Drosophila melanogaster: one gene and its partner. The protein of the gene in region 1 interacts with the protein of each later gene in a pairwise test. Each region holds a gene or a part of one and is shown on either strand. Other genes may lie near its edges.

Evidence for each region. The genes of interacting proteins can lie anywhere in the genome.
Region 2: the proteins of AP-2mu (region 1) and Rlip interact in a two-hybrid assay, tested with the Drosophila melanogaster proteins (2 studies listed by BioGRID).

What each region holds. Positions count from the first base shown.
Region 1 is NT_033777.3:22,460,183-22,465,700, reverse strand, and holds AP-2mu (adaptor protein complex 2, mu subunit), read right to left. Parts: upstream 3,247-5,518; 5' UTR 3,171-3,246; exon of another isoform or gene 3,111-3,170; 5' UTR 3,099-3,110; coding exon 2,922-3,098; intron 2,854-2,921; coding exon 2,415-2,853; intron 2,359-2,414; coding exon 1,661-2,358; 3' UTR 1,098-1,660; downstream 1-1,097. Other genes in the region: CG7054 (uncharacterized protein), read right to left, coding at 26-426; Rpn7 (regulatory particle non-ATPase 7), read left to right, coding at 3,779-4,948.
Region 2 is NT_033777.3:21,015,525-21,021,253, forward strand, and holds Rlip (Ral interacting protein), read left to right. Parts: upstream 1-2,159; 5' UTR 2,160-2,253; coding exon 2,254-2,350; intron 2,351-2,417; coding exon 2,418-2,550; intron 2,551-2,605; coding exon 2,606-3,490; intron 3,491-3,920; coding exon 3,921-4,683; 3' UTR 4,684-5,229; downstream 5,230-5,729. Other genes in the region: CG5697 (uncharacterized protein), read left to right, coding at 761-903, 977-1,235. UniProt on the Drosophila melanogaster protein: Participates in receptor endocytosis during interphase, is also involved in mitotic processes when endocytosis is switched off.

The DNA of each region.
Region 1 (5,518 bases):
ATAAATATCTTAATATATATCATACGTATTGGATATAGTGGGCGTCTCCTCGATCTTGTTCTCCTGGCGATAGAGGAGGAAAATATACCGATGCAGGCCAGTGTCCTTGGGCGGTCCAGATCCAACGTAGTCCGCTAGGGAGTGGCCACCAGAAGGATTCTCATTGCTGCCGGGAATGTTGACCACAGACCAGTGCAGAATCTCACGGTACTTGGGATCTTGACGAGTCGGTGCATCGGGATCCACCATGAGCAGGGTCAATAGGTTGGACTTTCCCTCCAGCCCAGACCAGCTGACAATCGGTTGGTCCTTCACCTGGGTGGGGGTTAGCTCGTTGCCCTGCTTGACCTCCAAGTCATCGCCATAGATGACCTTAATGGTGCCAGCGGGAACCGCATCCAGCACATCGGGTACTATGTCATCCATGTTACGTGTAGCGTGTCAGCCCAAAAAGATGATAATACGGTTTTTTTTTCGTGGCGTTATCACTCTGCTGACCAAGCCAGCTGGGTGATAACAAAGCAAAAGCTTCACTCTGATTCAGCGGATATCTACGGATTTATTAAAATTTCCAGTCCAATTAATTAGTATCTGGATGGCGAAACCAGTCAAGGCTATCCAGCGCTGGCAACAGCTAACACCTAGAAATAATAGTTTAATGGACACAGCGGAATAAACTTTATCGCAGTGGGTGAACTGATTGGACAATGTTGATTTCTAGCGCCGATGGAAAATTGTGAAAAGCCCCTTCCACGATAAGCAAGCTTTTATGCCAACTGGCATTTTTAGGCCCTTTTTTGCTTTCCCAAAACGCAAAGATCACTTCCATTGGTGCGATGATTCATGGCTAGAAACTAGTTTTCACTTCGTTGAACATCATCAATAATTGTGACGTTAATTTCAGGATTTAGCTGATCTTGAACCAATGTGCACACGTGATAGCGAAGACAGCACTTGTGGGCTGATCATAAAGTTGTATATCACCCATTTATGAGGTTGTAATCGTACCTTTCCGTTCTATTGTTGGGCATATCAGTTCGATATAGGGAAAAGCCATATAACGATACCCTTTCACCAATGAGAAACACATCATTTTTAGTATATATCATGCTAATTTATTTATTAAACAATTCGAATATTATTAACACTTGAATATCAATATTGATAGCGCTGACAGAGTTTTGGTCTATTAAATACGCTTAGTTGCATTTATCGCCTTTGTTCTTTGCACAATGAAAATAATGATTAAATATACATATATATATATATTTATAATACGATAATACAAATAATAATTAGAGTTGTGAAACGTGAGCGTGAGATTTGTGAGACGTCCCGCGACGCATATAAAAACAACATAGTTTACATTTACATAGTAGGGTAAATCATAGTACCTAGTAGTGGTATGTCTATGGGGAACACGCCCCGCCCGCATAACCAGTGCTCGCGGAGGCAGTGTGTGCGGTATACGGCATAGGGTGTCCGGGGTGGATCCGCTACTCGGGCGTCCTCCGGACTTGCTGGAACTAATCTTGGAATACATAAGCTGCTGGTTCAATTTGATTGAGGAAATACCAATAGATGCGGTAACACTTTCTCCATTCATCTCGTTAAATTCAATTGTGATAATCTTGCTCCGTGATGGGGATGCTTGGGCGCCCTAGCAGCGCGTCTCATACAAGCCACTGCGTCCGATGTAGCGCACCCATTTGACCACATCGTGGTCGGAGTAGTTGAGCTTGGGCTCGAACACCTTCAGGTAGCGTACCTTGAAGCCGGACGGCGCGAATGGCACCTCAAAGTTCATGGAGATGGGCGGCCGAGTCCACTTCTTCTTGGTGTCCGTCTCCAAAAGTTCGATTTCCGCGGACAGCTGTGTCTCCTTCATGCCCGCCATGCGCTTAATCTTCCACACGATCGCGTTCTCCGAAGCCTTATATTTGGCTTTGCCCTTTAGGCAGATGAGCTGCACGCCCGATGTATTGAGCGGGGTTGGTATCTTCACCTCGATCTTTTGGCCCAGCAGTGAGGGCTTAAAGTTGGACTTCAGCACAACCTTAACCTCCATCTTGGTGCGGCCCACCTCCCGCACCAGCGGGATGACTCGGAATGGCAGCGAAATGTCTTTGGTGGTACGGTAACGCATCAGCTCGAACTCCCCGTCCGGCGGGATGAAGCTGATCGAATGCTCCGTCTCGAATTTGCTTAGCTTGACGCACTGATGGAACTGGCAGTCATCGATGACCACGACGGGCTTGCCGGAGCGTGAGGTTTCCGCCTCTGAATTTCCGGAGAGACCGCGTCCCTTAGACTCCATCACGATCTTGTCGTTAATCCCGAACTTGCACTCGGGCATGCCTACAACATGGCGATTATTAAAAGGAATAATGTCTAGATTATTTATGCTAACTTACCCGACAAATACGACTTCATTACCACCTTGCCGGCCACGTGGGCAGACAAAACCTGACCCTGCGGGCTCATCAGCAGGTTCACGTACTCCAATACGTCCAGGAAAAGCTCGTTGCGCCGGTACTTGATGCCCTCGCGACGCCAGCCAATCTGGCCGGTAACCTGCGAGGTTATCTGCATCTGCTCCTCCTTGGTGGCCGACTTGATGCCCTGCTGTGTGATGAAGGTCTTCAGGGTGCCGGAGTCCGTGTTCTGCGGGTAGCCAAAGTCGAGGATCTCATCCAGCAGCTCGTAGATGAGCACGAAGTTATTCTTGATGTTCTCCTCCGAGATCTTGCCGAAGTAGGATTGCATCACCTCGATGATCTTCAAAAGGAACTCAAACACCATCGCGGCGTTCACATTCTGCTTGGTCACAGCCGCCAGCCAAATGTTTGCTCTCTGTGAAAGGAGTTTTGATGATAAGTGGGAGGGTTGGTGATTGTGACATAGGAACTTTGTTCACCGACCTTGATGTGGAAGAAGCTGGTCCTCGCAATATTGGTCACTGGCGAGCGGACCTGCTGGCGGGCGTGGATGACGTTGACCCGAAAGGCGTCCACGGCATTCCGACCGATGTCGTCGCGGTAAACTCGCGAGATCAGCACCTCGCCCTTGTGGTTGTAGACGAACAGGCCGCCAATCATCTTGTGCGCTATCTGATGGTTAGTCCAAGTCGGTGTAATATATATATTTATATGCAAATATAAGATATATACATGGACAGTGGACGATGCTGTAGCTTCAAGCGAAAATTTTTATCAGAAAATCAATTTTCACTCCCCCTTAGTGTGGCCCTTCGAGGTCAGTATATACCATAAGTGATACGGTCTTACAATTATTTAAAAAGAAGTGTTTATTCGAGTTCTGGGCACTTCAAATCCCAGATTGAGTTTACTTCTTGGGATTTAGCTCGAATATTTTCAAAAAATATATAAGTCGTGTTATTGGAAAAAAATAGATTCAACAATTATTTTACAACTAAATATTTCTTAATTCTTCGACAAAGTTATCATGAAACATCAGTTCTTTTCTAGACAGCTCTCAAGTTTTTTTTTTAAATTTAAATTACTTTCAGAATTTAAAAATAAATTAAAATACAAATTCCCAATTGGCAATTGCACTGTTCTAATTTCGTCGCTATCTTGATGGACATCGCTCTGGTATTTTTGGCAATGTAAAAATATGCGGTATAATTTATCGATAATTTTGGGGTCACACTGGTAGTACATGACTCTGCGATTTGACAAAAACAAAATTGAGTTTTGTCAAGAAAATCAACTATTTTTCTGTGTTTAAAAAACCGAAGCCAACAAATCCGACCAAAATGCCTGCCGAAAACTTGGAGGAGCAGGGTCTGGAGAAGAACCCGAACCTGGAGCTGGCCCAGACGAAGTTCCTGCTTACCCTGGCGGAATACAAGCAGGATGCGGCATTGAAGGCGAAGCTTCTGGAGGCGATTCGCACGGAGAATATGGCCCCGTGGTACGAGCACATCTGCTCGGAACTCGGCTGGACCGTAGACAAGGATCTGCTGGCGCGAATGAAGGAGAACAACCGCGTAGAGGTGGAGCAGCTAGATGCGGCAATCGAGGATGCGGAGAAGAATCTGGGCGAGATGGAAGTGCGCGAGGCGAATCTTAAGAAGTCAGAGTACTTGTGCCGCATCGGCGACAAGGCTGCCGCAGAGACTGCCTTCCGCAAGACCTACGAGAAGACCGTTTCCCTGGGTCACCGCCTGGACATCGTGTTCCATCTGATCCGCTTGGGACTGTTTTACCTTGACCACGATCTCATCACTCGCAACATCGACAAGGCCAAGTATCTGATCGAGGAAGGCGGCGATTGGGACCGACGCAACCGGTTGAAGGTCTACCAGGGTGTTTACTCGGTGGCGGTGCGTGACTTCAAGGCGGCGGCCACGTTCTTCCTGGACACCGTAAGCACCTTCACCTCATACGAACTGATGGACTACCCCACCTTCGTGCGTTACACCGTTTACGTGGCCATGATTGCCCTGCCGCGCAATGAGCTGCGCGACAAAGTGATCAAGGGCTCCGAAATCCAGGAGGTGCTCCATGGCCTGCCCGACGTGAAACAGTTCCTGTTTTCCTTGTACAACTGCCAATATGAGAACTTCTACGTACACCTGGCCGGCGTAGAGAAGCAATTGCGCTTGGACTACCTCATTCATCCCCACTACCGCTACTACGTGCGCGAGATGCGCATTCTGGGCTACACCCAGTTGCTGGAGTCGTATCGCTCCCTCACCCTGCAGTATATGGCCGAGTCGTTCGGCGTAACAGTGGAATACATTGACCAGGAGCTGGCACGCTTCATCGCCGCCGGACGGCTGCATGCCAAGGTGGATCGCGTTGGCGGCATTGTGGAGACCAATCGGCCTGACAACAAGAACTGGCAGTACCAGGCGACCATCAAGCAGGGCGATCTGCTGCTCAACCGCATCCAGAAGTTGAGCCGCGTGATAAACATCTAATGTAGTTCATATAAAAAGATTTATTCAAATTCAACATTTATTACAGTGTAAAGCTAATGCAACGTACAATAATAAAAACGATATAAAACTCATGGAAATGCTCTAGCAGATTGTACGTTAGCTTATTATGTATTAACTAAATTCTTTGGAATTGTTTTGGTTACGCCGTCTTTAGTGTATTTGAGTATTATTGCAATCATTCCACTTTTGTACTTAACTGTCATTTGACCTGCTATTTATGTAAATTTAAGCCTAAGCGTCGCCCTCGATCTTCTCCTTCCACGACGGTTCCTCTTTGGTATCGCTACCATGCTGGTTATGACCAGATTCGCTGCCCGGAAAGGCAATTGAGGGTTTGTTGTTGGTCATGAAGCTGCGTGCCATCTCCTCCAGCGCCGCCGACGATCGGAGTCCGCAGTCTAGTGGCTCCTCCACGTCATGTGCCCGCTGCTGTTGTTGTTGTTGATGATGATGTTGCTGCCCCGCCGATACTTTTGCTGCCATGTCATGTAAGTTTTGGACCATCTCGTGAATGGGTGTACCCTGGGTCAGGACCTCGGGCACCATGGG
Region 2 (5,729 bases), 1.4 Mb from region 1:
AGGAGTATATGGCTTATCGTATTACCTTATCGAATCGAATAGAGCCTAGACCCTAGAGTTACTGGCATACGAATATATGTATTCCGTGCATGTTTACCAACCGAATCCCAATAAACTAACACATTAAACCGATCGATCTGGCTGTGAACTTTTCACTTCCCTGAAATCTTGGGCTTATCCTTATCGCTATGGGAAACTGGGGGAGGCGACTTCTCTGCTGCGGTTATGTAATGCCCCAAAAAAGCGCCAGATAAGACCAACCGCCGGTTGCGGAAGATGAGCGGATCGCCACGGCCCATGGAGATAAAGTTGTTTACAGGAATCCGGACCGAGCACAAAGACAAACAGCAATGGCAATAAAGCAATGGGACAGAGAGACAACCCAGCTGCAAGCTAATTAAAGTTGCGACAGAACGAAGCCAGTCGCCAGTAGTCCGCCAGTTGCGAATGGAGCAATTTCCAGCCGGGAGTGTTTGCAATCCTGGTACTATCCCGTGAGAAGGGCTGAAAAAGGACTGTAAAATACCCAGTTCCCATCTATAGTTATCTGTCGTGCCTGCAAGGGGCTACGGCAACTTTGGTGGTATTGACAAAAAAAAAACGAAAGATACATGTCACAGTTATCATATATAAATTATCAGTCATTTGAATAAATCATTATTCATTATTATTATTATTTTCACTTCTTGTTACAGATAAAGTTACATAAACTGCGTATACCCTCTTGTTCGGCACACATCCAGGGTACCACACGGCAAATATGTCCTGCAACGAGAAGACAGCGCTTCTGGCAACGCAACAAGGACATCAGCAGCGGCAGCAGCGGCAGCAGCAGCACATCATTGTCGTGCCCGCGACGGGGAAGGATCCAAAGGATTATGAGCCCATTTTCACAACTGCTGAGTAAACGCTTTCCGTCGTATTTCATTAAAAAATAACTTCGTTACACAGTGCCGCCTGCCCGCTTCTTTCGTAGCTATTCCTACGGACTGACGCTCGAGGAGCTCCTGCCCTTCGCTCTGGATCCCTGGTGGCAGGCCGTACGGCGCCTCAGCTGCGGGCTCCTGGGCCTGACTTTCCTGCTGACCCTGATTGCTGGACTGGTTATGGCCTATTCCGACAGTGTCTGTCTCCCAAATAGAGCAATTAGCAGAAACGCGACCACCACGACAACGATGGCCACGCCACTATCCTTGGCTCTCAACGGCTCCCAGCTGCTGATGGCCAGTTTATAGTGGCCGTAAGCTAATCTGTGTAGCATTTTGGAGATGCCGCAATCCACCCTGCGGAATTGCATCAGCCGCATCAGCTCGCACTATTAGCATTTGTTTGGCTTGCCGGTAATGGAGGCGACCTAATCCTCCTCCTCTCTACTGTTTACCCCTACTCAAGCTGAGTGATAAGCGATGCACCGCGGGATTGATTGGTCGTGAAATAATTATACTGATTAACTTATTTGCTACACAACCGCCTACTCGTAAAGTAAAAAGAATGCAAAAGGTATAAGGAAGCGTTTCCGTACCAATTAAGAACATTGTATCGCAAACTTATTAATTTTTATATATATACATATATATATATGAATATTACTTAAACTAATAAACGAATAGTTTTTTTTCATCGCTGTATTCTGGTTTCGGTTTCTGGGAGTTTAGAAGTTAACAAACCGCCTTATAGTTTTACAGCCCCACCCTGAAAAAATGGTTTGATTTAGTTTTATTTTATAAATAGTCTTGGCAATTTGTATACTTGTGAAAAAACATTTTCACCACGCCCACACTAGCGCGCACAATTAACAAAATCCTGTAGTTACAGAGGTGGTACTCTTGTCATTTTGGAAGTTTTATGTATTATGTAGTTTATGTATATATATAAAAAATATTTTCTTAGAATTTAAATTATTTAAAATATTATTATTATTATATTATATATTAACACATATTTATTTATTTATTTATTATATATATATATATATATATATATTAATATTATAAAAATTTAAGAGTTAGTAGCTGATCGCATTTCTGATAGTTGAGGAACTCGACTGTAGCGTTTTCTCTTGTTTCAATTTGCCTTTTTTTAAATATCTACACCGTTACTACATATTTTTTACATGACACAGTAGCGCCATCTGTGCACTTATCAGTGTTGGATAGCAGCGGCGACTTCGATTAAGCAATCGATTATTTGTTGCATATGTTGTTTACGGCAATTGTTTATATTTATTTACTGCTGGTGAAGTGATTATTCGTGATGGATTTTGACAGTCCCGAGGAGAAGGAGTTTCCCGGGCTGTACGCCTCCGAGGCGGCGGACGCTAAGTCGAGGAAGAGCAAGGAGGAGAGCGACTGTGAGTGGAGCGCAAAGATGTGGGCGTAAGCTGGGAAAAAATCAATGGGCTCACCTTGCCTTTACAGTTAGTGAGGATCACGACCATAGCAAGAAGGACTTGTTGATTGGCCGGCGCAAGGACAAGAAGGAAAAGGGCAAGGATCGAGGATACGCCGCTCTGGAGGGCGAGAGCTCGCCGGAGGAGGAGCTGGACACCAAGTGGGTGCAGGTCAGCTGACCCAGAGACAAGTAATATTTTTTCTTTTACTTCCAGAAGTCCATCCAAGTCGAAAAAGTCAAAGACCTTTAAGTTCACCAGCTCCAAGAGCAAGGAGAAGCGGGAAAAGTCGCGGGACAAGTCTGAAAAAGACTCGAAGCACGCAGAGGAGGAGCCTTCCGTCTCCCACAAGGTCAAGGAGAAAGAGCGGGATAAGGAGAAGGACCGTGATGAGCCCAAGAAGAAGGACAAGGAGGAGAAGCGCAAGGAAAAGGACAAGAAGGCTGACAAGAAGGACAAAAAGGATAAGAAGAGCAAGCAGCTGTCGCAGCAGCAGGACGACGTCTCCGCCGCGGAGGAAGTGCTGGCACTTGGGTATCCCGTCTTTGGGGTGTCCGTTAGCTTGGCGACCGAACGATCCCGCTGCCACGACGGCGTGGACATTCCCCTGGTTGTGCGCGACTGCATCGACTTCCTGCAGGATCACCTGAAGTGTGAGCAGATCTACAAGATTGAGCCCATCAAGACGCGTCTGATGCACTTCAAGCGGTTGTACAACAACCGGGAGCACGACTCCGCCGTTGATGAGCTCAACCTGCCTACCGCCTGCAGTCTGCTGAAGCTCTTCCTGCGCGAACTGCCGGAGCCACTGCTGACCACCGATCTGGTGGCCCGCTTTGAGGAGGTAGCCTCTCATCCGAAGGTAACCACGCAGCAGGCAGAGCTGCAGCAGCTGCTTGAACAATTGCCCAAGTGCAATCGCACCCTCTTGGCGTGGGTGCTGCTCCACTTCGACGCGGTGATCCAGCAGGAAAGACACAATAAGCTCAACGCTCAGTCGCTGGCTATGCTGCTCAGTCCGACGCTCCAGATGTCTCACCGACTAATGGTGGCCCTACTCTGCCACTGCAACAACTTGTTCGCGGACGTCCAGCTGATAAAGTGAGCAAACACCGGCTAGCCGGATAACAGTGGTGGGAAATATCCAAGTACCTTTGTGTTGGTAAAAGAGAAGTCCACATTTAACAACTATAGTTAAATCACAAGAACGAATCGAAGTCATAGCTCTGAAGTTAACTACTAAACTGTTAGTTTTAGTAAACTGTTAGTTTCCATATTTATCTAATGATATAAATTGTTTTTTTATATGTATAATAGGTACTTATAAGAACCCAGATAATTCCCACCACTGTTGGCAGTTGATAAGATTGCTGCTATAAAAATCGCCAGATTTAGTCGTTTATTTTGCAACCGACGATGAGCACATTACCCCGTAAACAGAAGCGCTTTCCACGTTTCGCCAGTTTTCTAATCAGGCAGAATGGCACACATTTAAACAAAGTTATCATAATACTAAATTGTCATCTCTTAGGTATGTGCCCCCTTTAACATCGACCAGCCCAAAGCTTCCGGATACGCCGGAGGACATCCAGACGGAGTTGCGCAAGCAGGACAGCCTCCTGTCCCAGATCCACAGCGAGATGAACGCCGGGTTCATTACCAAGAAACGCGAGGAACAGCTGTGGGAAGTGCAGCGCATCATTACCCAGCTGAAGCGGAAACTACGAACTTTTGAGAAGAAACAGGAAAAGACTGCGGAGGAAGTAGACAACAGCAGCAGTGCTCCGCCCGCTGTAGCCAGTGAAGATACCACTGACTCCAAACCAGCTGGAACTCCAGCCGTATCTACGAACAACAGTATTTCCCAGGAAGAGCCAAAAACCGATACACTAACTCCGAAAGATGCTCCTAACGATTTTACTATTGATCCCAGCACTGGCTTTATTTTGCTCCCCAAATCAAATCCGCACCGCGAAAATTTGCTGCGGCTCCAAATTGAATATGACGAGCTAATGGAATGGCAGAACGAACTAAAAGCACGTATCGTCGCCGAGCGCAACGAAGTCTATAGGCTCAAGCAGCTGTACGAGCAGCAGTCAATAAACAGTCAAATGGCCTCCTTGGCCTCGGGATCTCAGGCTCCCCCAGAATCCGACTATGAGCGGATAATCGAGCACTATACACGGGAGAATGCGCTGCTGGAGCACAAGAAGAATATGCTGGGCATGGAACTAAAGGAGGAACGACGGGCCTGTATTGCTCTACAAGTTGAGCTGCGGCTCCAGCAGTTTTAATGTATTAATTCGATTAATGTATTACTTGGATGGGTCAATTTGAGGGATATAACTAAGTTCCTATTCCGGAAACTTAATGGTCACATTTCCAAAGAAACATAAAAGGTCTACTAGGCAATCATAGGAGGTTTCTTAGATTCGTAGAAGACAATTCTATGTCACATATCTAAAATATTCAAATGAATAAACTTGTAAAGTTTTTGATAATTCATTTATCTGCAAACGTAGTCACTGTTCTAAACAGTGTCCTTTGTGAATTGCAATATATGAGAATTTTCAGTTCAGCTTTTAAGGAGATAAAATACTGCTAAAACATAAAACGGATTCCTCATGCCTAAAGTCAGTTTATTGTTTATTTGGAAATGAGCTAGTTTCAGACTTGACCCACCGAAATATATGTATGTATATAGGGTTACCAATTTTAAATCTCAATGTCTACTTGCGATCAAATGCTTTGTTCAAACTATAATTACTGTTAAACGGCGCAAAGCCCCAAAGAAATCTTGTTAGACAACTTTACTGCTTTCAACAATTAAATGAGAAAACAAACTCAAAATTCCCTTTTCTGTACTGAACTATTGCATCGAAATATGTCTCCTCGAAGAATTTTGTAAATGCCGGTAAAGTAGCTGCGTTTGTGTGTGCCGACAATCAAGATCCGATTTTCTAAATCGGTCTGATGACTTAATTCCAATCCGAGAAATACAGGGCACAGATTAGAAGATGTTTAGACGACGGATTGGCTGTTCGCTGGGGTGAAACGGAAATGACATCATCTCATATTACGTCTTGTCAACATTGTGATGGTCAAGGAACCGAGGTGGGCTTTGCGTGTTACGATTACTTTATTTAATATTTATTATTAATAATTTTAGAATACATTATCATTATGCATTACGTTCGGGGCGTGTTTTCTGTATTCCGCTGAAGTACAACTTAAAAATATCACACACAAATACCACGGGGGAAAGATGAGTCCTCCGGAATGCCAAACCGCGTCAACTCGCTCCCCTCCATGATTAAGTTATTTCCGCTGGACTACAGAT